Linked DNA regions of Mus musculus: regions 1, 2, 3, 4 and 6 are each reported to be linked to region 5. The links are microRNA targets in miRTarBase. Many come from high-throughput screens and were not tested one by one. Region 5 holds a microRNA gene; each other region holds the end of a gene's coding sequence.
The links. The annotated mature microRNA mmu-miR-1306-5p reads CACCACCUCCCCUGCAAACGUCC and lies in region 5 at 1,285-1,307, opposite strand. An mRNA with a match to its seed (bases 2 to 7 or 8) in the 3' UTR can be bound and repressed. Matches are read on the target gene's strand: a 7mer-m8 pairs with bases 2 to 8, a 7mer-A1 pairs with bases 2 to 7 and ends in A, and an 8mer does both.

Region 1 (4,099 bases), not on the chromosome of region 5:
AGGCCAGCCTGGTCTACAAAGTGAGCTCCAGGACAGCCAGGGCTATACAGAGAAACCCTGTCTCGAAAAACCAAAAAAAAAAAAAAAAAAAAAAAGAGTGGGCACTCAGAGAAGCCCAGTAGGGCTATGATGACCTCATTTTCTCTCCCCCAGCTGGGTATTATCTGACCACGTGGTTTGGGGCTCTCTACCACATTGCTCACTACCAGCCAGACACTGGCCGTGCACCCCAGGGGCTCAGCTCCGAGGCCCGGGCCTCCCTGCGCCAGTGGCATCGAAGACGGACACTGCACCAGCAAGCCCAGCCCACAGCCCAGGTAACCACCTATGCTATGCAGATGCAGGTGGAAGGGGCGGTGGTCTCTGATGCCCCTTTGACACAGCCTCCCATTTCTCCCCACAGGCCAACCAGCCTTTTGAGGAGCCATGGGCAATAGGGGACCCATGAAAACTGGAGTTCTCAAACCCCAGTCACTTCCGAACCTTTTGACCCACTCCTCTGCTAAGCAAGATTCTGGAGGCATCTGGGTCAGCATGGAGGGCAGGGCAGGAAAGGAGACGTGCCTCCTGCAATGTCTTACTTCCTCCTCCTCAATTCACCTCCTTCGGGTCTGTCCAGATGTTACCTCAACGAGGCGCTCCCCAGCAAACAAAACCCACACCCAGACAGTACTACAACTACAACCCTCTCGCCTGAATCTCTTTGGGGCAGGTAGAATAAAGGCACCGTCCCCAAAGGTGTCTTCATCCTGATCCTATCTGTGACTGTGACACTTAACTTGGTCAAGTGATCGTTACAAAAATGACAGCATGTCTGGACCTGAGATGGGAGCTTATTCTGGATTCTTCTGCAGCTCATGTAGTTAGGAGGGTGGCAGAGGTACAGGGACCATCATGAGCTTACGCCTCCAGCTATACAGCAGAATGAGGTGGAAAAAGTACTTGAGGCCAAGACCATGAGGACACTGTGGCACTGAAACATAGTAGGTGTTTAGGAACACCTATGTGCCTTGAAAACATATCACTGCCCTAATCTCTGTGACCGTATTTGGCAAAAGTGTTTGTGCAGCTATTATTATTATTTTTGTTGTTTTGGTTTTTCAAGACAGGGCTCCTCGGTGTAGCCCTGGCTGTCCTGGAACTTGCTGTGTAGACCTGGCTGGCCTCGAACTCAGACATCAGGGATTAAAGGTGTGTGCCCCCACCACCCAGCTCGTTCAGCCATCATTGAAGATGATAAAATGAGGGACAGTGCCCCGGGGACTGTGTCTGTGACTCCAGGAGCACCCACGCCATGCGGGAGACAAGGAGAACGAACGGATGGGAACAAGAGAGACGGGAGATGCTGGGCTACTCCAGGAAAGCTTCTCCCCACTGCCACCCCCCCTCTGAGAGCTGCAGAAGTCATGGGGCCCTGCTGTCAACCTGGTTTCTGTGAGATTAGTGATGTCAGAACTCTGACCTCCAGAATTGTGAGCAAATAAATTCCTGCCGTCTTAAGACACCAAGGTGGTAATAATAATAATAATCAATAAAATTTAAAATGTACTGACGAGCAATGGAGGTGCAGACCTGTAATCCCACCAACATGTGAGGAGACTGAGGCCCGCCTGGGATGCCCGAGGCCCTGCCTGACTCAGCAATGAAGCTCTTACCTAGAATTCGCAGCAAAGGGCTGTGGGTATGGCTCATCAGCGCGGTGCTTGCCTAGAGGCCACTGTTAAAGAGCTGGAGTGTGGCCTGGTGGTAAAGTATGTGCCTTGCATGCTTGAGGCTGTAGTTTTTATTACCATCAACACACACACACACACACACACACACGCATGCCCCAGTGTACGTCAGTGTTGGAGAGCTGTCTTCATTAACAGCACTGACTATTCACCTAGAGAACCAGGATTCACTTCCCAGCACCCACACGGCAAATCCCAAACCATCTGTAACTCAAGTTCTCGAGTTCTAAGCACCTGAGACCCTCTTCTGGCTTCCACTAGCATCAGACACACATGTGATACACAGACATTCCTGCAGGCAAGGCACAGTATCTTTAAAATATAAGTGAGACCATCGTAAGTTAGTGAGTGTGCATAGTAAGTTGATAAAGGTATCTGAGTGTTTGAGTTATAGGAATCATCCTAGCAAGTTAACTAAGTCCACTGGCCAGATAGACGGTTTATTACCTGAAACTCAAGACCGGCCCCGAAGCAGCAGAAGTTGGGTGCATCCTGTAGACCCAAGCTCATTATCTGTAGGATCTGAGGCTAACTCCAGATAGTGTCAGGATCGGGTTAAATTATAGGACACCCATCTTTATTGGCCAAGGGAATTTCTTGATGTATGTGTGGGAAAACCTCCACACACATCTGGTGTCTGAAGTGTGTGAGTTGTGTGGGAGTGAGGGAAATGTACCTTTTTTTTTTTTTTTTGAGACTGGGTGAAGCTCTGGCTGCCCTGGAATCTGCTCTTAGACCAGGCTGGCTTTGAACTCAGGGATCTGGCTACCTCTGCCTCCCAAGTGCTGGGATTAAAAACATGCTACCCCTCCAAGGCCCCCCCAACCCCACCTCTTCTATTTTATAGAAAAACAAGGAAAGCTTCATGCAGGTGGATTGGACAGGGATGCGCGGCACGTAGCAGAAGAGGAGGCAGCCAAAGAAGAATCACGTGGGCCACATCTGTATGTGTGGCTTGTTGCTGTGATGACACCGTGACCAGAAGCCACCGGGGGAAGGAAAGGGTTTATTTTGGTTTAAGGTTCTAGAAGACTCCGCCGTGGAAGGGGAGGCATGGCAGGAAGAGTACACATCTTCAGAAGAAGATGTGAAGAGATCACATCTTCAGCCGCTCACAGGAAGCACAGAGAACAGGAGGGAGGGGGCAGGTTGAGAAGCCTTGAGTCCTTTCCTTAGTGATAAACTTCTCCCCATAAGGCTCTGCCTCCTCAAGGGCCTGTAACCTCCCCAAGCAGTGCCACCAGCCAGGGGCCATGTGTCCAAACACCTGAGCCTCTAGGGACATTTCTCATTCAAACCACCACCACACCAAAAACTTAAAAATTCTAAACATGCATGCCTGTCATGTACCACAGCATTTAGAAAGCAGAGGCAGGAGGATTCCTTCTAGTTCTAAGTCAGCCTGGGCTTTGTAGGAAGACCCTACCTTCAAAACCAAAGTAGATTTGGGAGATGGCCCACTGGGCTAAGTGCCTACTATACAAGGACCTGTGTTCAGGTCCTTGGTGTGGCAGCAGGTACCTATAACTGACTCACTGGCCTGCCAGTCTTGCCAAAGCAGCAACTTCTAGATTCAGCAAGAGACTCTTGTCCAAAAAAAAAAAAAAAAAAAAAAGGGGAGCTAGAGAGATGGGGCAGTGGTTCAGAGCACTCGTGTTTTTGTAGAGGACCCAGGTTCTATTCCCAGCACCCACATGGCAGCTTACAACCTTCTATAAGTCCAGTTCCAGGGGATCCAACACTCTTCTTTTGAGACAGGGTTTCTCTGTAGCCCTGGCTGTCCTGGAACTCACTTTGTAGACCAAAAAAATCCCAGCACTTGGGAGGTAGAGGTAGGCCTCGAACTCAGAAATCCGCCTGCCTCTGCCTCCCAAGTGCTGGGATTAAAGGTGTGTGCCACCACGCCCGGCCCAACACCCTCTTCTGACCTCCAAGGGCACCAGGCACACACATGCAAGAAAAACACATAAATTGATTAAATGTGGTGCTGGCCAAAAAGAGAAAAAAAGTAACAGGTTCTGCTGCCAAGGTGGACAGACAACTTGAGTTTGAAGAGGGCAGAATCAACTCCTGGTCCTCTGACCTTCATATCTGTGCCATTGGACGTGTGAACATAAACACACAAATATAAATAAAATGATGTTTCCAGGAGGCGGTGGTACACGCCTTTAATCCCAGCCAGCACTTGGAAGGCAGAGTCGATCTCTGTGAATTTGAGACCTCTCTGGTCTACAGGGTGAGTTCCAGGACGGCCAGGGATACACTGAAACCCTGTCTCAAAAACAAAACAAGACAAGACAAACAAAAAAGTCAAGAAAGTATTGAAGAATATACCTGTGTTGACCTGCACAGCATATCCATGTGCACAC
Region 2 (4,103 bases), not on the chromosome of region 5:
AAAACTGTCACATCTGGTGGCATCCAGTCTGTGCTTCCAGCGTCCCAGCTTGGCTCAAGTGTGGACACCAAGAGGCCAAAGGTGAGGTGCAGCAAGGTGTTAGGGGGCAACTGAGAGAACAGGCCGTAAGATGAACAGAGGCCAAGTGATGCTGGGGGCAGAGCAGGTAACTGGTAATTCCCCGTGCCACAGCTCTTAAGTGGAGAGGACATCTTCAGCCATAGAGATGGGCTGCTGCCAGGTCTGGGGTTCTACAGTAGGGAAACAGGTTTGGGTGGGCTAGCTGGGGGAAGGTCTAGCCCTCCCCTGCTTAGTTGCATTCTATTTTGCTATAGGATTCTGCTGTGCTGGACCAGTCGGCCAAGTACTATCACCTGACTCATGATGAGCTCATTGGCCTGCTCCTGCAGCGTGAGCGTGAGCTGAGCCAGAGAGACGAGCATGTGCAAGAACTGGAGAGCTACATTGACCGGCTGCTGGTGCGGATCATGGAGACCTCGCCCACACTGCTGCAAATCTCCCCTGGCCCCCCCAAGTAGCCCTTCACGCCATCCCTGGAGGGATGGTGAGGACCTGTGTAGTGCCCGCCACTGACTGCTCTCACCTGAGTAGGGCAAGCCTGCTCTCATGGTGACTCTCTGCACCCCTCCCCATCCTGCCTCTGCTCTGGCTGCTGGAAGGGGCTCTTTGAACTCCCACTGGAGCCTTGGGTCTTCCCTACCTGACCATTCTCACACGCGAGGTTATGGGGCTCCCCAGAGAATTGCAACAAGGTTGTTAGCTGTCAAGATGGAGCAGGAGTGAGCTCTGGGTTCTGGGGTGAGCTGAATTATCTAAGGCAACACTGTTGACAGCACAGCTCACCCCATGAGGCTGGTCATTTGTTTCTCCTCTTGACCAACTCTTCATCTCCATTGCCTTCTGGCACCTGGAGGGTCTCCTAGGCCACTGGGACAGGGATGGGAACTAAGCTGCTTGCTTTTCTGTGCACTGTAGACAACCAGGGCACCTACACTTCAGCCTTGTGCCTATACCCTAAGAGCAAGGAGCCTGTGTGTTTTCGTCTTGTCTCTCTGTCTAGAGCATGTACACAGGGTGGTGGTGGTGGTGGGGGGTGGTGGTGGTGGTGGTGGTGGTATGTGCCTATTCCTCAGCTGCCCCCTGCCCCTCTTCAGACCCTCCCACTCCATGTCCCAGTAGTGGTGGGAGGTGGGGTGGGCACAGAGGGAATGACTTCTTTCTCCTGCAGTCCTCCCTACCTCCCTAACATGAAACCCTCCAGGTTGGGGTTTGGGGCTGCTCATGTTTTGTGGACCAGGCCTCCATTCATGTCTGTTAACACTCGTCAGATGCCAAAACTGTGCTGCTGTGGGCTCAGAACATTTGGAAACCAATTAAACGTGCCTTTTGTGGGTGAGGACAAGAGCCTCTGGATGTAGATGTCTCTCTGGCCATGGTGTCCCCTCCCTCCTGTTGAGCACGTGAAAACGGCTGTGAGGGTCCTGAAAGGGGGCTGTGGACCACGCTGTTTACTACCCCGAGAAGTACCTCAGCTAAGGCTCTGGCCAACCTGCTTTGGAGGTGTCCTAAGCCGCCTTCCCACTTCCTGGTCCTCCCTTGACCCTTATTTGGAGCATCCTGGTAAAAAAATCTAGTGCACAGTAGGTCTGGGGCTATCCTGCACCTTACTGTGTCTGACCTTGGGTCCCAGTTATGCTGGACCAGTGGGTTTGTCTGGAAGCAGGAGGCTTCATTCTGCTTTAGGAGACACCTGAGCTTAGGAAAATGCCCGTGGCTCTCCAGCTGTTCTGTCCTTGTTGTACAGTCCCTCCTGCTCACCAATCCCTCCTGTCTTGCCTGGCTTGGCTGAAGTGCATTCAAGTGAAGTCAGGTATCTGCTCTGTGGTCCAGCTTCTAGCTTGCTTGTGAATACTGCCAGTCTCCCTGGCATCCTCGGGGGTCCTTGGTGGCTGTGCATTACAAAAGGTATGAGTGAAGGAGGTGAGATGCTGACAAAAGATTCTTTGGGCCCAGTGGAGAAGCAGTAACGTCTTTCCAGCTGTCTCTTAAAGACAGGGTCATGGGTTCACTCAGAACACCTCAGGAGAATATTCTCTGTGGATGACGTCAGTCTTCTGCCAGCATAGAGCAGATGAACCACAATGGGGTCCACCACTGTGCAGTTACCAACTATAGGTCAACTCAGAGATGAGAAAATAGCCACCAGTTCCCAGAGTTTGGGGGTAGGGTCAGTCCTTGGGTGTTGGAGGTGTCTTTTGAGGAACTGAGTCCCTCTTCTAGGTCTTCCTCTGGGCTTTAATTAGTCCCAGCCCTTCTCTCATCTTTCATCCATCCTTGCTGTTTGGCTTCTCTACATGGCCAGGGCAGGGGTGTCCTGCAGAGAGGTCCTGAACTGAGGCCAGGGTTTTGTTCATTGTCTGATCCTTACCACATACTGCAGAGTGCAGCCAGACAGGCAGCAAGCAGGCACAGCTCTGCTCTGCCCTTTGTCCTCCTAGTTGAAACTCCTGTCTATAAAGAGCTTGTTCTTCATGTTTTGAGCACTTTATGAAGAATAAAAAGATCACGTACCGCAGCCAGCTTGTGTGTTTGTTTTGAAATGAGCGGACAAAGGAGACCGCCTGTGGGAGAGGGCAGTGTGGTTCTCAGGTGACAGAGCTACCGCTCTGAAATCACAGGCAACACTGCCTCATGGCCCGTGTGCCTAGGATGCCTGTGCTCACGGGCACTGATCACAGGCATATTTACTGAGTGTTGGGCCTGGCGGGGTGGGGGGAGTGGATAAAGAGGGCAAGTTTTGTGATTTCTGTCCTGAAGCCACTGAGTTCAGTAAGGAAAGGTAGGATACAAACCAAAAATAAGAACTGTTCTTTGGGTCATTTGTGAGTTCTATTCCATGTGGGTCAGCTATCAGTGAGTGAATGAGCCCTTGGGCCACCAATGGCTCATGCTGTGTCCAGAAGGACAAGAGGGCAACCCCAAGTTAGCTCTGAATCCCACCATGAGACAGAGGCTCCCCTAGAGTCAAGGAGTTATGTCCTGGGTGAAACCATCAACTCCCCATTCTCCATGCCCAGTGTGGCTTATAACCACACCACTTAGCTGGGGCTGCAGTTGCCATTTGGTGCCATTCTGCAGGGGGTGGGGGTGAGGTGTTTATTACCTTGGTATTCTCTACAGCTCCTGGTGCACCCCTGTTGCTGGTCCTCAGTAATTAGGCTTGGACCAAACCTCCTTAGATCAAAAGAAGTAGGGTCTCAGGATGCTTAAGCTCTGGATATTTAAGTCACCCAAAGCATTTGAGTACCTAGTGTCAACCTTCCTATATCTGCACTGAAGATTTATCCATCCCCCTCCCCCACCATACAGTAGGAAAGATATTTAAGCTCATGGTTTGTCTGCTGGCTGGCACCTGTAATCCTGGGACTTGGGAGGCAGAGGAAGAAGGATCACAAGTTTGAGGCCAGCCTGTGCTACATAGTTCCAGGCTAGCCTGAGTTACATGCAAGGAGGCAAGAGAGTGCTGCGTGGTACAAAATCCGGAAGCGGATTTTTGTGGAAGTAGGCTGATGGAACGGATGAACGCGTATGCGGAACCTATAAAAAGAATCGCCTCAGGCCATGATAAAAATGAGCAGAATGTTAAAGGGTCACAGCAGCGTGAGCATGGCTTGTTTCAGAGAGTGGCAGAATGGCTGGAGCCAGGATTTTGATAGAAGAAACGGTAGGAAAATCCCGCAGTGCGACTCCTTGCTGAAGGCCATCCGAATTAACCCCACTCTGCCTGGAGTCCTTGCTTGTCTGATCCCGGGTCGTGTCCGCGTTTGTAGGGGTTCCTTGTCCTAAGACTCAGGCCTACACGTATATCCGCACATGCATTTGCATACATTCTCAGGACTGCAAACGCCTGCTGCTTTAGCGGTAGGAACTAAGACCAGGTCTGCGTGGGTGCAACTCTCTGCAGTCTGAGGTTGTCAGGCTCAGAGCAGGGGAAAACTACACTCCCCAGAAGCCCCTGCGCGCCCGGTTCGCTGCGGTTGCTCACGGCCAATCGGGAGAGGCAACTGTGGCGGGGGCCGAGG
Region 3 (4,087 bases), not on the chromosome of region 5:
ATTTACTTGAAAGACATGGCTCTGCTTTGTAGACTAGGATACACTGGAACTTACTGTGTAGCCCAGGTTGCCCCCATACCTGTGGCAAGCCTTATGCTTCACTCAGCCTCCTGTTAAGAGTTAAGATTAAGATGGGAGCCAACTTTCCCAGCTACAGCTCATTGTTAAAATGATATGGGAGGCCAGTCATGGTAGTGTATACCTGTAAGCTTCGTACTCTGAAGGCATAGGCAGGAGAATCAGATCAAGGCTAGCCTCTGCTACCTTGTAAATTCAAAGCCAGCCTAGGATACAAGAGAGTTAAAAACAACCCCTTCCTGCCCAATAAAACTCCCCACACCAGTGATGTGGGGAGCTCCACCCATCTGCATCCTTAACTGCTTCATGGAGGTGGACACTGTAGGCCAGTTCCAAGTCAAAGGCATTTGCTATGACCTTTCAGAATGGCCCTGTGGAGTGGGAGAGGGTCTTTATTTCACACATGACAGCTAATGGGTTACATGGTGTGCTTAAGGCTGACCTGTCATTCAAGGACTTGGTTCTAGTCACTTCTGGCCATTTGTGTCTTGGGGAGTGGCTGAGGGGGCAGCTGGGACCTCACAGGCTCTAACATTCTCCCTCTTCCTCTCCCTCCCCTTCCCCCTCTCTCTTTCTCCCCTCCCCTCCCTTCCTCCCACAGATTTCGTGGGCACTACAGTAAGTTCCGTGCTGCGGCCAGGAGGTGATGTGTCTGGCTGGGGAGTCCTACCATGCCCTGTTGCTCACACACAGGGACCCTGAAAGCCGGGATTTTATAGCCCAGGAGTTGGCCTGACCTCAGCATATCCCGTCTGCTGCCCTCTCATTCCTGCGTTCAAGCTCCAGACCCAAATCTTGAACTGGCTGCACACGGACCTCCTCCGGGCTCTGAAGAGAGGCAGGGGCTAGGTGGCAGCCTGGCAAGAAGGCAGAGCCCTTGAGATCCTGAGTCTGGCCCCGCCTCCATTGGACCTAGTGGAGCCTGGGCCTCCCTCTTTGGTCCCTCGGTTTCCTTCTCTCCTGTGTAGACTAGCTGGAGGTCCCTGGGGATCCCCAGGGAAAGGACGCTCTGCCGCGCAATCTCCTTGGACCCCTTCAGTGTGCAGGGCTGCCTGCTGCGTCCTTGCCTGCCGGTCCTGATCGCCTAAAGAGACTTACTCAACACACTGCCCCAGGAGGGCCAGACTCTTTCCTACTTTATTTTTATTCGCTGATGATGGTCCCACCACATCTGCCACAAAGCTCCAGGTGCCACCAGCCCCCCAACGGGGCCTCCTCTGCCTCCCTCATTCAAGCCTGCACCCAGCTCTCAAAAGAATCTGAGCCGTGCTGAGGGGGAAAGGATAGGGTCTTCCTTCCTGCTGCTGGTAGTCCTTCATCACCTCAGAGTCTGAGGGGGAGACACGGGCTCTGGAGGCTGTGGGAGGAGGAAGCTAGTTCCAGCCTGAGGCTGGCCTGGCCTCTTCCCTACTGGGATATCTCACTGGTGACTGGCCCCTCGAGCCTGGCCTGTTTTGTACAGCATAGACTTCTCAGGCCCATTGTCAGGGTTGGTGGCTGTGGAGAGGGGGCACAGAGGTGGGGACTTAGGGGTTACCCCTCTCCTTCTCATGCTTCCTACACCCTGGACATCTGCCAAGGGCAGAGACTGTCTTGCGTCTTTGATACTTTTCTGCCTAACTTGAACTTGCAGGTCACCTCTGAACAGGGTACCCTTGTCCCCACCCCAGGCCCTGTTACCCTGTCCCTGCCTCTTTCTCCTCTTTGCCCACTTCTCGCCTTGCGATAAGCCCAGGGTCTGCAACCTCATGGGCAGTGCTTGGAGCTGAGGTAGGTGTGTGTGCATGAGTGTGTGCGTGTATGTGTGTGTATGTGTGTGTATGCGTGTGTATGCGTGAGTATGTGTGTGCGTGTATGTGTGTATGTGTGTGTTTGTGTGTGTGTGCGTGTGTGTATGTGTGTATGTGTGTGTGTGTGTGTGTGTGCGTGTGTATGTGTGTGCATGTATGTATGTATGTGTGTGTTTGTGTGTGCGTGTGTGTGTGTGTGTGTGTGTGTGTGTGTGTGCGTGTGTTAGGAAAGGGCAGATGAGAAGATCTCTCTTCTCCTGCAGTGGGGGGCCCCTCCCTCCCCCTTAGCAGAGAGAAAAACGAGGGAGATTCCAGGTGGTTTTTTGTTGTTGTTGTTGTTGTTGTTTTGTTTTTTATTTTGTTGTAGTTTTTGACCATCTTTGGCTACCTTATGGATCTGGTGGCAGAGCCATCTAATCATAGAAAAGCCTCCAGTTTCCAGTGGAGGGGTGGCAGACGAACGTCATCAAACATAATGTCTCCGAGGACACGGCCTGCTGCCTGGTCCTTGTGTCGAGGAATGTGTGCCTCCTATAGGCTGTCCAGGAGGCGTCTCACTTCCCTGTGTTACATTGGCCTCAGCCAGAGAGGAAGAACGGCTAGTCTATGAGTTTGCTGTCCTTGTGTTCATTTTCAGAGGACTTGGAGCTGAGTTAGGATTCCTGAGCCAGGCCCATGACCCAAGGCTGCCCCAGCAGGACCCTACCTGGAATCTGATGCTGGTTCCTGGCAGAATTCCTGACACTTGGAACGTTCCAGATCCCATCTCCACATTTTCTCCTCTCTCCTCCAGGGTAGACACCTCCTCCTGAGCTTTGGCCACTGCCCTTGTCTTCCCCAGCTCTTGTCCCAACCTGGTCCCTCCCTGGAGCCAGAGTGCTGGAGTCATCTTCAGCAGGTAGCCAGGAGACTGGGAATGGACAGGGAGGGTGGGGGAGCCTTGTCAGAAGGAGAAGGGAGCAGGAAGTCAGATCCTCAGCTTCAAACCAGAGGGGAGGGTCCAGGTAGTGGCGAGAGGGGCAGGAGTGGGTGACTGACTGAGAAGCGGGCAGGAGCAAAGCCGGCGAAGTAAAGATGAGGCAGGAGACAGGCGACAGGCATGGAAAGGGAGGAATGGAGAGAATGGAGAGAGAGAGAGAGAGAGAGAGAGAGAGAGAGAGAGAGAGAGAGAGAGAGAGAGAGAGAGAGATCTGGAGAGGCACACACAACGATGGAGAAGTGAAGAACTAGAATGGGTTTTCCATGGATGGGCAGCAGATGAAGAAACCTGGGAGGTGGGAAATGGAGGGGTAATTCACAGGGAGCAAGAACAAAATGTAGAGAAGAAAGAAGATAGTGGGTATGTGTGTGAAGAGGAAACGCTAGGGATTGAGGAGGGCAGCCATGTGTGTGCTTGGAGAGCCTGTTTTCCTAAGAACACTTGCTGCCCAGGGGGTCCCTTGTGCTTTGGCAGACAGGATAGAATTGACTTCTTGGTGTCTGCGGTAGCTCTGATCCTTTGGAGAGAACTGTGTGTGTACAAGGGACCGAGCAGGCCAGGCTGTGTTAGATAGAGGTGGGCTAATGACAGAGAGGAAGGGCATGAGTTCCCTCTGAGGAGTCGTCTACCAGTGTTCTTGCCACTCTCCAGCCAACCAGCTGCTGCCCAGCGGTGCAGTGTGGAGTTTCAGGCTGGCAGGCTGAGGTCTGCAGTCTGCAGGAGCCCCAGGGTATCGCGGGGAAAGAAGAGAGGGAGCAATGGGAACCAAAATGTGGTCTTGAAGGCTTAGAAGAGTTAGGGACAAAGAAAATGGATGTTTCGGCCAAGAACTCAGGTGAGGCTCTAACTGACCTCCTGGCAGTTGACGTAGGACAGTTAGGGCGGGGAGCTGGTGTTAGCCTTTGGGGAAGGATAGGATATGGACATCAACATCTCTGTTTCTGATCACTAACCAAGAGCTTCCCGTTGTTGGGTCCCTGAAAATCCTCAGCTATTTGTGACTGGATGGAGAGGCTGGTGTTTGGTGTTAGCGGATTTCTTTGCTCTTGACAGAGAGGGGAGAGGAGAAAGCAGTTATAGCTTCAATGGGGTCCAGCCTCTGCTCCAGAGCACTGTTTAGACTAGTCCTTGGGGTTGAGGGAAGTAGAACACTGCCCTCTAAGGACCAGAGCTATGGAGGAAAGCTGTTCCAAGGGCCTGAGGATGTGGGGAATATTAACATCCTTCTGGGGCCTGCAAG
Region 4 (4,103 bases), not on the chromosome of region 5:
TGAAGCCCTAAGACAAGCTCACACTACAATGACTGATTTTATGTGATGTGGGGGATTGACCCCAGGGCTTCATGCATATGAACCCAGCCCTCTACCACAGGAGATGCAGTCACAGCCCACTGTGATTTTGAGGTAAGGTCTCACTCACTCTGTAGCTCAGGCTGGCCTGAAACTCAGTCCTGCTTCTGCCTTCTGAGTTCTGGGATTGCAGGTCTGTGCTAATGGTTTCATCTTAGAGTGTCCCTGAGCCCTTCACCCAATCCGTCACGCCAGATTTTTCCTCATGAGCATGCCATCTTGGAAACTTGCCTGCCACCTGGGTTTCCCTCTGCTCTTCTGGTGTCTCCCTTGCCTTCATCTCTCTCACCCATGCACACTTTAAATGTTGGAGATACCCCGAGGCACTGTTTCTGTTCTTCCCCCGGGCAGCCTATGCCAGTCCTGGCTTGCTGACAAGTCCCAGATCCCCCTCTCCTGCAGTTTCCTTTTCTGAGGGCCACAGCACCCTAGACTTCTCTCCCCTGTTTCTTCTGCATTTGACAGCCCCCCCCCCCCCCGCCACCATGTGCTCTCCTGCTCTCTTCATTCTAGACTGACAGGCGCTGGCTTGAGCCCGTGGCTACAGGAGCTGGTGGGACCTGGAGGGTAAGATTAGTGTGCTCGCTCATCCTTTAGTGCTGCTCTCAGGCACTCCATGTGTCTGTGTTGCTCATGCTACCCCCAGCACAGCAGCTCGATGGGCCACTGCAGCCTCTGCTCATCTTGTGTCCAGGGAGGGCAGCTGCTTCCTTTGTACCCAGCCCTGTGGTGGCATGGGCACCTTCCCTGTCCCTACCCGAGTCACTTTAAGGTCTTTTCCCTAAATTCCCCCTCAGTCACCACCTCTTTCCAGCCGATAGGTCTTCCTGTGCCTTCTCACTGGCTTGATCTGTGACCTGATTTCCAACACCCAGTCCAGCCTCCACTCCTCTTCTCCTGCCTGAGTTCCTGATTTCCAACCTCTGATATCACAGGAAGTCGCTGATATCACAGGAGTCTATGAGGAATGCTTAAAATTATAAATCAGGAGCTGGAGAGACAGACGGCTTGGAGATTAAGAACATTGACCCGGCAGGGTACAGTTCCCAGTATCCATTGCGTGGCCCACGATTGCCTTGTTCTGGGTATCCAAAGCCCCCTTCTGGCCTTCGCAGACACTACACGCACATGATGAACATACGTACACAATCAAAGTACACATACACACAAAACAAAAAAATTATATAAATCAGCTGACATCATCTGCTGGCCTGCTCCTTCTAAATTTCTTCTGAAGCAGCCCTTTGCTCTTAAATCTTAAGCCTCCTTGTGTGGCTATTACCGGCTTTTACACTTGGTCCTCTGAAGGTCTCTCTGCTCCCCACTCCATGCAGGAAGCGCGTCTTTCGTTTCTGCTCATCCTTTGTCCCACTCTGAAAAAGCCACTGCCTCACACGTCTGTACACATTAACTTTGTACTCATTCCCTAGAATAATCCACCCTTATGAAAACACACACACACACACACACACACACACACACACACACACACACACACACACACACACACACACACCTCCTGTTCCATGCATGATTCTGAGAAAGTGACCTATTTTATTTAGGAAACTTCATCAACCTCAGCTCCCTCTGGCTCAGGCAAATTAGAGTCCTTCTCTTTTGCAATCCCACAATATCCTATGAAGAGGAACCATTTGTGGCTGGTGAGTGGGGTGTGGCCAGCAGAAGCTCAGGACTGTGAGGGGCGTGGCAACCAGGGCTAGGTTCTTGGTTGATGGGTGGGGCATGGTACTAGAAACCTATGGCTGCTTGGCAGGGGCGTGGCTAGTGGAGGCTCATGATTGATGGGTGGAACATCAGTACTAGAAACCAATGGCTAATGGGCAGGGGTGAAACTAGTAGATGCTCTTGGCTAATGGGTAAGGCGTGGTACCAGAAGCCTATGGCTTTTAGTTATGGTTGTGGCTGGTGGAGGCTCTGGTAACATTGAATGTGGTTAGCGTATGCTGGTGTCCTGCTGTCTGGCCAACTCTAATGCAAAGGCTGCCGGGTCTGTTTCCTGTGGTCTAGATGTCGGAGCTGCTACCATCCCTTTCCTCCTGCACCCCAACTTCCCACGGGAGGACTGTTCAGGCAGAATTTCAAAGTTTTATGGCAGTTTTTTACAGAAACCACAGAGAAGGGACATCAAGTGATGCTGATGAGCAAGGGGTGAGAAGGGCCGTGGGTAATGGGTCTGATGCACAAATGGACAAGAAAATGCAAAAATAATAACTTAGGGAAAGCAGAAGGCTGTGAGGGTGGCAGGGTCACCTAAGGTCGCAAGGAGTGGGCAGCACTCCCCGTTCCCCAAGGATGTCTTTTTTGGGGCAGGAGACATCAACAGTAAGAAAATGCAGGTGGCCTACCAACAGATGTATGGCCTGCAAAGTTAAAAATGCCCACCCAGCCCCCCTCCCACCCTCCCCTCCACCCCCGCCCCCCAACAGGCAGAGATGTGGCAGCATTTGCTGGCTTGTAGCATTGGTCCTCTGGGACCCTCGGTCTCCTCTTCGAGGGTCCTGCCCAGATTGGCTGGCACTGAGAGCAAAATAAACCTTCTAGACTAGAGTACTTTCGTTAACCCTTCTAGAATACTGTCAGGGGAGGTCAGGTGGGCTCCCTTTGAGTCTCAGTCTCATCCACTAAGCTGGTTCTCAGGCTGAGTGAGTCCTGCTGCCCTCTCAGAAGGGAAAGTCTGTCAACGCCCCTTTCCCCAAGACATGCACCCTCCCGTGTCCCCCCTCCCCAAACACACTATATACACACACAGGCTCCTCCCTCCAAGGCGTGGCTAGGCTCTCAGAGGTAGTGGAGGGTGAGTAGGGCGCTGGAATGTCAGAAGTAGTGGGTTCAAGATGTGCCTCCTCTGGCTAAGCCTGGGGGACAGATACTCCAAACGTCCCTCCTCCATCTCCAAGCCTCTGAGTGGATAAATCAGGGAAGGTGCGTGCCTTTCTCCCTGCTCCCCGCACAAACCCCTATTCCTTTCCCTGGGGACTGCAAGGGAGCTCCCTGAGGGTTGGGGTGGTTAAGGGCAGAGATGGATGGCGTCCTGGGATGGCACAGCCTCCCTCTGAGGTACCTAGGGAGATGTTCTAAGACCTGGGCGCACAGGTGGAAGTTCGTGGCTTGAGGGAGGGACACGAGAAGACAGAATCAGGCTCGGTGCCCAGAAAGACCGAGAAGTAGTGTCTGGCCAGGGGACTCGGGTTTACCTCACAAAGGATGGGCTGAAGGGGATGCAGCTGAGAAGGGAGGGCAAAGGATGGGATTCCAGGGGGAAAGGGAGGCTGATCCCAGGAAGAAGGCTGAGGAGGAAGAGCCTAGGGAGCGCCCAGGCTGAGTCTGGGTAGAGAGACTGGTGGGTCCAAGAGCAAATGCCACCAAGTCCCCACCCTCAGGGCGGTGGCTAGGGCCCTAGAAGCCCCGGATGTGGCAGTAAGCCTCCAGGCTGGAGAAGAGAATGTAGAGGAACCAGAGGCCCAGGAAGAGAGCGGTGGTGGCCAGCTTGGGTCCCCGCGGGCCGCCCAGCTCGCCGCCAATCTGCGGCCGGCGCCGGTACAACAGCACTGCGATGCACACGAAGGCGAAGACGGTGAACAGCGTGACCGAGAAGGCCAGCGTGCCTGCACGCACCTCGAAGGGGCGACCCTGCACCGCCCAGTATACCGCTGCCACCGACCAGGCCACACCCAGGCCCAGGAACACGTTCACCGCATTGGAGCCGGTCACGTTACCGATGGACGCGTCGGCACACTGGTCCTGCAGCGCGGCCACCTTGCTGGCGAACGTGTCTACAGGGACAAGACGGAGGGGGGGGGGTGCGGTGTGAGAGGCTGCGTGACGTCCCCAGACCATTGCCTACTTCCTTTGGGATCGGTCTTCATGCAGTAAGCTTCACTGTCTGTGGAACACTTCTTTGGGACTTTTGTGCAACCAGTAGGCTCCACCGCCTACTCTCAATGGCATCAAGCTTGCTTTCTGTAAAGCTGGCATTGAGCTCTCGTCTAGGGGCTCACTTTTTA
Region 5 (4,000 bases):
ATACTTAAACCTGTCTCTACTCAGATTGATGTCTAGCACCAAAGAACTCCCAAAATATTCTTGGGAAGGAAAGAGTTCTGGGGCCATGAAGCACTCAGGATTTGTGATGGACTCACTCACTTTTGAGCACTGTTTTAATCTTGGTCATCATTGGCTGTACACTTGTCTCTCCATCAGATGGATGATCACTGTCTCCGCCATATTTTTCCTCCATTCGCCTCTTCTTGGGAGCACAGAGACCTTCTTCTAGTAAAGCGTCCACATCATTGTCAAAGTCATCCTGCAAAATAAAGTGTTCAGACCCTACACCCCTCCATGCTTTTGCACCAAGGACAAGTTTCACATGTATGAGGGAACACACAGAGGAGCCCCTCAATGGGGACTGAGCATGCCCTGATGGCATTTGATCATCTGAAAAACAAACAGGTTGAAATGACAAGTGAAATCAACATGCCTACTCCAGGAGCACACCCAGCCAAAGAGGCTTTTCAGCAGCATCTGCTGACTTGGGTTGGAAAGAGACAAGGCTCAATGTTAGCCAAACTTTCTACTGAGGATCTTTCCCTTCTCCATTAATATTTAACCTCACACAGGGTTTTTGCTTTGATTTCCCTGCTTTTAAAAATAAAGCCACTTCCAAACCTCTCTTTGGGTTTTGCTCAGAGCCCTCCAGGGAACTGGTCACCAACATACCTCATAGGAGAAATTCAAGGCCTCTTCATCCACTCTGTCTCTTTGAACGATTGCTTTAGCCGTGAACCCGCCTGTTCCTTCTTCATCTAGCTCCAAATTGTCAGTAAAATCTTCTAACTCATCGAGCACTGCATACTCCACTCTCTTTTCCTGATCCAGCTCATTTTCCTCATCCTTCTTATCTGCACTCTCACCCCCTAGGCCTACCCCATTACCAACACTCCCGCCAAAGGGACAAGCATGCACGTCCCCACTGACAGGACTAAGGAGCTGGCCACACTCAGGCCGAGTGCTGCGTTCTACTCCTGTGTACAGCACCTTCCTGTCCTTACTCCTGCAGCTCTCAGTAAAGCTCACGCTAATCTTTACATCCTTAAGCAACTTAAGGTCAGGGGAGAACTTCCGGACCGCAGGTGCGTGCCGGGCAGTGCGCGGGCTGTGGCCACTACAGTTCGGGTCTATGAGGAGGCGGCCCTTAGAGAAGGATCCTTTGGAGAGAAGAGAAGCTCCGTAGAAGTTGAATGGGTCGTCGGCAGGAGGTTCGGACTGTCCATCACCACCAGAGCCAACGTCCATTACCTCTGCATCACTGGACGTTTGCAGGGGAGGTGGTGGAGACTGTTCATGGGGCAGCACTTGGAAGGGGCAAGCTCGGTTCTCCATCATCGCTTCTCCTGCGGGCTCACGCGGGAGAGGAGAGGGACTCTCATATGTCTCCATATTATGAGCAGTTAAGACTACTTTAAAAGACCAGAGTTTTAAACCACCTTACATAAATCTATACTGCTAACATGCACAAGTCCGTCGAGACCCGGTGTCGTCCTGCCCGCGCTGTACACACTGGCGGCTTAGTCAAGCTGGCCACATTGCTCTTTTCATTAATGTAGACAGCTTTTAGAACCACTGCCTCAATTATTGGAAATCACAATGCACTCAGCTTAAAAGATTGACGTCTAAGTGAGTCTATCTTCATGCCAAAGTGGCACCTTTCTTCTTCCACCTGCAAAAAAATTTAAAAATATCATCACAAATGACAGAAACCTTTTACTTCTCTGGTACAAAGTTAAAAGTCAAATGTTATCAATGGTGTAGTAAAGGACCAAGATAACACTGCCTTTAAGGAAGCCTTTTAGACATCAGAAAAAAATAACTTTAAATTTTAAGTCCTAAATTAAGTATTTTATCAACTATTCATTTTAATCTTTATTTCAGAAGCACAAAAAATACAGTCTTAGAGCTCAAAAAAGACTAAGACTTTAAAAAAAAAAAAAAAAAAAGCTAAATTTTCCCACAGCACTCCCATAACCTGGTCTAGTGGATAAGCAAGCATGCATCACCATTTCAGGAACAGACGTAGAGTGCATGGCCTCCTTCAGGCCATAAGAGGGACATCAATCCACTCACCTGCAAGGGCTGGGTCAGTCAGAGGGCGAGTGAGACCCTCAGCTCAACTCTGTGGCACTAGAGACCTCAGAGATATAGCCAGGCACTCTGCTACCCAGGGACCCCCTCTCCTGGGCCCACAACGTGGCACGTGGACAGGACAGTGATGCAGCGTGCTGAGGTCACCAGGAGTGGCAGCATAGATCCATTCCCAGTAGAGGAAGGGTGTCTGTTGGGAAGGGAGCCTGCTAGTATTGGGGAAGGGGTAGGTGGGACAACATAGGAGAAAGGTAGAGCCAAGGTAGAAAGGGTTCTGGGTGCCATTTGGAGCCTGGCTCCAGGCTAAGAATAGTGAGCTATCAATAGGGAAGTGACTCTCCTTATAAAGAAGACTCACAGCTATACCAGGTATAGGACTGCACCAGATGTTGGGACAATTCTCCAAAACAAAGATGTGGAAGCAGCTCTGGAGACAAAAAGAAAGTGTCACGGAATGGTCTATGCTTGCAGACCCTATGGGGGTGGAAAGCAGAAAAAAAAGGTGAAGAGAAAGCTTCTCTGCAGACACACTCTAGCACCCTGGGGAGAAGAAGAGAAGGAGCTGTAGGTAGCCCTGTCTCACAGTGCTCAGGCAGGCCATAACTCTGGAGCCCTGAAGAGGTCTAGGGGAGGAGACCACATGGAAGTAAAGCAGCAAAACCACCAGAGGGAAAGAGCAGAGAGGGAAGGATGTAATGCTAGGAAGCTCTGCTACAGAGGATGCTTGCAAAGAGGGATGACACACAGGGCAGGCAGATCAGCAGAAGGCTGGCCACAAAACCAAAAGATCCACAGAAAAAAATGTTATTGGCAGAAACACATGCACACGAACACACACATGCACACTCCCACATCATGCACAGAAACATGCACATGCCATGCACACAGTTACAGGTGCAGATATACATACATACATACAACCATGCCCATGGGTGACAGCTTGGTTACCCCTACAATAACTCATATTGGACTCCAGAAAGGACAAGAGGACAGAAAACATCAACTATATAAGCAGCTTACAATAAAAGGGTTGAGTGGGGTGGTTATGCCTTGCTGAAGGTACATAAAAGCCAGAGGCTTGTTTAGGTTAAATTAAACCATTTAAAAACTCACTTACAGTCTACTCTGAGAGGTGCTACCAAAAACAAGAGATAATTAACCCCAAGGCCTAGATACAGCCGGAAGTCTATACTATGACTTTATGTCTTATAACTGGCAGTGGCCTAACAGTTTTTAATTCAATGGAAATTTAACAAAACACCTCTCCAAAGGTGTTCCCATCAAAGGTGCTTATGAATGACTGAGAAGAGAGCAATAACTAAGAAGCCAGGAGGGAGATCAAAGTTTCCTGGCAACCAAGGACCACTGCAGAGGACAAAATCATCAGCATGCTTAATCCTAACAGACCTCAAATAAGATCAGGACAGTGCCTGTTAGGTGTACAGAGATCACAGCAAGTCAAATCTGTGGTATCTGAGGTAGGATATGCTAATGGTAAGAACACTCAAGTAGGCAGGGATTGGAGACAAGAGTGGTAGAGGATAGGGAAGCATACTGTATGTTAAAAGCAGTGGGCCAGTGAGGAACTACAGATGAAGGCAATAAGTGAAGACATTAATAAGTGTTAAAGCAGGAAAAGCTTTAAAGAAATATATATCATAGGTGGGGACCCTGAGGCCCTGGAAAAGGAAAGTACACATCTTGCAGAAGCAGGCAAATTGTCCAGCTCTGGAACTCAGCAGCAGGCTAAGGTAAGTTTCTTACCTTCCCTCTGAAAGCTTACTCAATTCATTAATCAACTATTTGCTGAATGCCCCATAAGGCATACACACCATGTATATGTGTTAAGCACAAAGCAGATAAAACATTTGCCCCACAGAGCAAT
Region 6 (4,087 bases), not on the chromosome of region 5:
TCTCTTTCTTCCTTCCTTCTTTTTGTGAGGGGATCAGAAAGTGTTTAATATAAGGAGTTAGAGCCTTAACACGGAGCTAAGAGAAGCACTGTGCAGTGGATCATGAGTGCCCTATTTTTGTATTGCTGGACATCTGTTAAAACGTTTCACAGTATTTTCTCATATCATTTTGGGCTTTCCTCCAAGAGGTAATAACAAAATTAATTACAGAGCCTCCTAAATATAACTGACCCCAGATTGCTATGTTGTTGCCGTTTCAATGTTGAAAAATTAAAGTCTTAATCACTCCTGTATGGTGTTGAGGTTATGAGATGCTAGCAGTGTGTGGAAGATGAGATGAATAGAAGATAAAGGCACATTCGCCCAGCACAGTGAGCCATTCACCAGGAAGCAGCAGCAAGCAAGGGGAGGGTGGAAGGCCGGGCACTAAAGGGTGGAAGTTCCTCAAGATGAACGTTTGCAAGCCCAGACAGGGAGATAGATGCATCTTTGAACAATCTGATTCAAGAGTGGGAAAGTTGGCAGCTTTCCAGAGTAACGCAGACTTGCAATGTGAAATTGATTTAATCTGAAAGACTAGAGGAGTTAATTATAAGGAACCTGGGTAAATAATTATTAAGATGCAAAACAGACTCTCTCAAAGTCTGAGAGCCTTGAAGTACTTGACAGCTTTAGTTGAGTACAGAGCTGCTCTCAGGTGCAGACAGGATGTCCGACACGGTAGTAAGTGGAGTGTTTACCGAGGCACAGCCATGTGAAGCAATTAAGGGGAGATGCACCCAACAGAAGGAAGGGCCAAAGAAACCTTTCTTTCTTTTTCTCCTTACTTATTTTGTGGTACCTGAGACTAAACCCAGGGCCTCCCATGTGCCTGGCAAGCATCCTATCGGTAGTTACATTTTCAGTCCAGCTCTCCGCTAAGTTTGATGGGTAGATCAACTAGATTTGTATTAGATCTTTTCAAGAGAGAAATTACACAGAAGTATTTGTTGCTAAGGGGGCTTTAAAACTTGTATAGAGGAGGTATTAGTATTCCCTGGAATAGAGAGCAAGAATGCATGGTGTCCCTGGGCTGCATGGCTGTGCTCATTTCTGTACCTCTGACTTCACCCAAGCTGCTTTGAGAGGTGTGTGAGTTACGGCTACAGACCTGCAGGGGCTTTGTGGTGGTAGTCCCTGCGTGTGCAACGAACTGCTTTCTCTTCTGCATCTAGTGACTTGCCATAGAAACAGCTCCAGCCCTTGCTGGCAGGTGCCTCAAGGAAGGCATCGCTCTGGTCCCCTGCCCTCACCCAGACCCTCTTCCACTTCCTATTGAAAACAATAACAACATTAATTTCACTGCACCTTGCTTCTCTCCTTGAGGACACAGAGAAACAGATTTCGGAACAGGGCCCAACAGGTTCCAGGCCCTTGCTGGAACTTTTCTTAAAATGAAAATGGACTTCCTTTTCCAGGTCATGAGCATGCTTTGCACCAAGCAACATCGTTTTACAACTCTACCCCCTCCCCTTTCTTTTCTCTTCTCAGAGGGGAGGAGGGAGAGATACACACACAAGCTTGCTACCTCTGAGCTGCTCCCTCGACCTAGCTTTTTTTCTTTTTCCTCTAAGAAAACCATTCCTAACACACAACACACCCAAACCATGCCTGGCCTCCATTTTCTCCCTAGTTACCGCTATATGCTTACACCTCTCCCCCTCTTTTTCCTGTTCCCAAGATCCGCCATGTTTCTGGCCGCAGGGCCAGAGCTGCTCAGTATCATTGTCATGGGGGCACAGAGCACAGGGACATCGGGAGAACTCTGAATGTTGTTCACAGGGATCCTTAGGACACAGCTCCTCTGTTTCTATAAACTTCGAACACTCCCTAAAAACATTTCCAGGCTGGGTGTGGAGTTATGTAATTATCTGTATCACATTATATTTACAAACTAAGGTTACAGTGATAAACACCTATACAATAGGTATCGTTAATTATTTTCAATTGTTATGCCAATTATATCCATTTTATTGTGGGAATTTATGATACATGGCAAAGATGCCTATGTTCGAGAGAAGCTGCTGTTTCTGGAAATGAAGCTCTGAGGTCAGAAAATGTGACGTCACACTCAGGCACCCACAGGACTCTCTCTAGACCTTCCTCAGGAAACATCTACGAATCAGACCTTGATCTGGCCAATGTCCACTCTCTGAGTCACTTGGGATTATTTATAGTCAAATAAAGCATAAATCTTAATGATAAAATTGGTAGGGTGTGTGGCGTTGCTTACAGTAAACTGAGCTTCAGGTGAGAACTTGATAACATTTTAACTGCATCAACTTACTTAGAAAGAGCATTTGAAGGGTTTTTAGACTAAGGAGAGCTGGTGTGTGTGTGTGTGTGTGTGTGTGTGTGTGTGTGTGTGTGTGTGTGTGTGTGTTTTACCACCACTCTTTAACTCATTATATATGATGTAGCTATTTCTATGGACATGTTGGCATACCATGCTTTCTCTGATCAGGAACATCACCTGCCACTGTAACTCTTTCCAGAGGAGAACCAGCTGGGACTGTTGCAGGTGGCCCGCTGCTGTGTGCTGGAGGTTCCTCATCCCTGTTAGTATTGCTCGCTATGGCACCCCTTAACCCCGTGGTCACTGCAAGCTTCAAGTTGACCCTGGGAGGGACCCTGGGACCCTGGGAGGAGTCAGACAAAAAGCTTCTAGCTTAGACAACAGCAAGCTCAGCTTTGGTGCTGTCGAATCCTCCTTTTAATTCACTTCATTTATTTTTAATTTCTTGGCATATGGCCTACCACAAAGGTTTGGCCACAGCCCTAATCTTTTTTGACTATTATATTCCTTAGATCCCAGGGTCCATTCATAAGAAAGCAGCTCAACATAGCTAGCCTCATGGTATGCTCTCTTCAGCTCTGACGTTCGCTTACCCAGTGACTATAAGGACAGGTAAGAAACACCCCCGGGGACTGTCCTTGCGACTTCCTCTACACACTTTTCACCCGTGGCCCTGTCATACAGGCTGTATGGGTCTATGTACAACAAGCCATGAACACTTTAGTGTGAAAATATATAAAGCTTAATTTTAAACATTATGAAAAATACATATTTACAGGAGAAACTACAAAATACAAGTATGTACAATAATATCTGTTACCTTTAAATTACATAAATTCTTTAACATTCTCCAGATTAATAAATTATACATAGTATCAACAGAAATGGCTGGCACCCCCACAGGGCATGAAGCAAGGTTTTGTTTTTGTTTTTTTGTTTTTGTTTTTTTTTAAAGTCACACAGTGAAACGCTTTTATCCAGGGGATCTTCAGGTGAATTCTTAATGTCTCGAGTAGATTGCATCTGGAAGCAAAGATGGTATGGTTAGAAACTGTAGAGCAGTTCTCAACCCGTGGGTCACATTCCCTTTGGGAGTCGAACGACCCTTTTTACAAAGGGTTGCATATCAGATATCCCGCGTATCAGATACTTACATTGTGATTCAAAACAATAGGTAAAGCACAGTTATGCAGTGGCAGTGGAAATGTTATGGTTGGGGTCACCGCGACGTGAAGAGCTGCATATTAAAGGGTCAGAGCATCGGGAAGGCTGAGAGCGGCTGCTGTAGAGAGACTGCCTCCATTGTCCTACTTCTGAGATGTATACATGGAAGACACTGGTGGATATCACCCAAGTGATTTAGGGCATCACTAAGCTCTTTAGGATAGAGCATCACTATGGAGCTAGCCCATCCTCTTTAGAAAGGCAGAGTCCTGGACTTGGAAGGGACTCCTGTTGCCCATGCCTTGCCTCTGAGTTCCAGAGGCAGGCCAAGGCCAGGACACAGAGTACTCTGCCTGAGGAGACGTAGAATATGAACTCCTGGCAGCCTCAGAGCTACGTTCTGACTCCTAGCCTTTAGGATAGTAGTTATACTTCAAGCCCACAGTTAACTTCTTCTAGGCACACCCAAGCTTAGTTTTTCAAAGATTCTCAAACAAGTTAACGCAAGACAAAGAACGCTTTTAAGATCGACCCCACCGTCCTCCACCATCCGGGAGTTTCTTAAAAGAGGCTGACAAGCAAAAACCT

Region 1: miRTarBase lists Rinl as a target of mmu-miR-1306-5p. Seed matches in the 3' UTR shown: 8mer at 1,508-1,515.
Region 2: miRTarBase lists Rab11fip5 as a target of mmu-miR-1306-5p. Seed matches in the 3' UTR shown: 7mer-A1 at 1,132-1,138.
Region 3: miRTarBase lists Lhfpl4 as a target of mmu-miR-1306-5p. Seed matches in the 3' UTR shown: 7mer-m8 at 2,182-2,188.
Region 4: the mRNA of Slc8a2 is a reported target of mmu-miR-1306-5p. The part of its 3' UTR that is shown has no 7-base or 8-base seed match.
Region 6: the mRNA of Ptprb is a reported target of mmu-miR-1306-5p. Seed matches in the 3' UTR shown: 7mer-A1 at 2,425-2,431.

The regions. Positions count from the first base shown.
Region 1 is chr7:28,797,407-28,801,505 of GRCm38, forward strand. Rinl (Ras and Rab interactor-like) reads left to right here. Exons shown (of 12, transcript NM_177158.5): 11 at 154-317; 12 at 404-1,559. The coding sequence ends at 448. Among named protein-coding and RNA genes, the nearest start is that of n-TKctt24, 5.4 kb to the left of the region's middle.
Region 2 is chr6:85,333,459-85,337,561 of GRCm38, reverse strand. Rab11fip5 (RAB11 family interacting protein 5 (class I)) reads left to right here. Exons shown (of 6, transcript NM_001003955.2): 5 at 1-81; 6 at 336-2,600. The coding sequence ends at 539. It overlaps Mir705 (microRNA 705), which reads left to right and starts at 1,189; the gene lies at 1,189-1,270. It also overlaps a transcript of Sfxn5 not described here.
Region 3 is chr6:113,168,551-113,172,637 of GRCm38, reverse strand. It overlaps Lhfpl4 (lipoma HMGIC fusion partner-like protein 4), which reads left to right. Exons shown (of 4, transcript NM_177763.3): 4 at 680-4,087. The coding sequence ends at 780. Among named protein-coding and RNA genes, the nearest start is that of Lhfpl4, 25 kb to the left of the region's middle.
Region 4 is chr7:16,158,573-16,162,675 of GRCm38, reverse strand. It overlaps Slc8a2 (solute carrier family 8 (sodium/calcium exchanger), member 2), which reads right to left. Exons shown (of 10, transcript NM_148946.3): 10 at 2,165-3,872. The coding sequence ends at 3,496. Among named protein-coding and RNA genes, the nearest start is that of Meis3, 15 kb to the left of the region's middle.
Region 5 is chr16:18,283,004-18,287,003 of GRCm38, forward strand. Mir1306 (microRNA 1306) reads right to left here and starts at 1,314; the gene lies at 1,236-1,314. It overlaps Dgcr8 (DGCR8, microprocessor complex subunit), which reads right to left. Exons shown (of 14, transcript NM_033324.2): 2 at 694-1,693; 3 at 121-280. The coding sequence starts at 1,413. It overlaps Gm24572 (predicted gene, 24572), which reads right to left and starts at 1,634; the gene lies at 1,547-1,634.
Region 6 is chr10:116,383,124-116,387,210 of GRCm38, reverse strand. Ptprb (protein tyrosine phosphatase, receptor type, B) reads right to left here. Exons shown (of 32, transcript NM_029928.2): 32 at 1-3,358. The coding sequence ends at 3,336. Among named protein-coding and RNA genes, the nearest start is that of Kcnmb4os1, 33 kb to the left of the region's middle.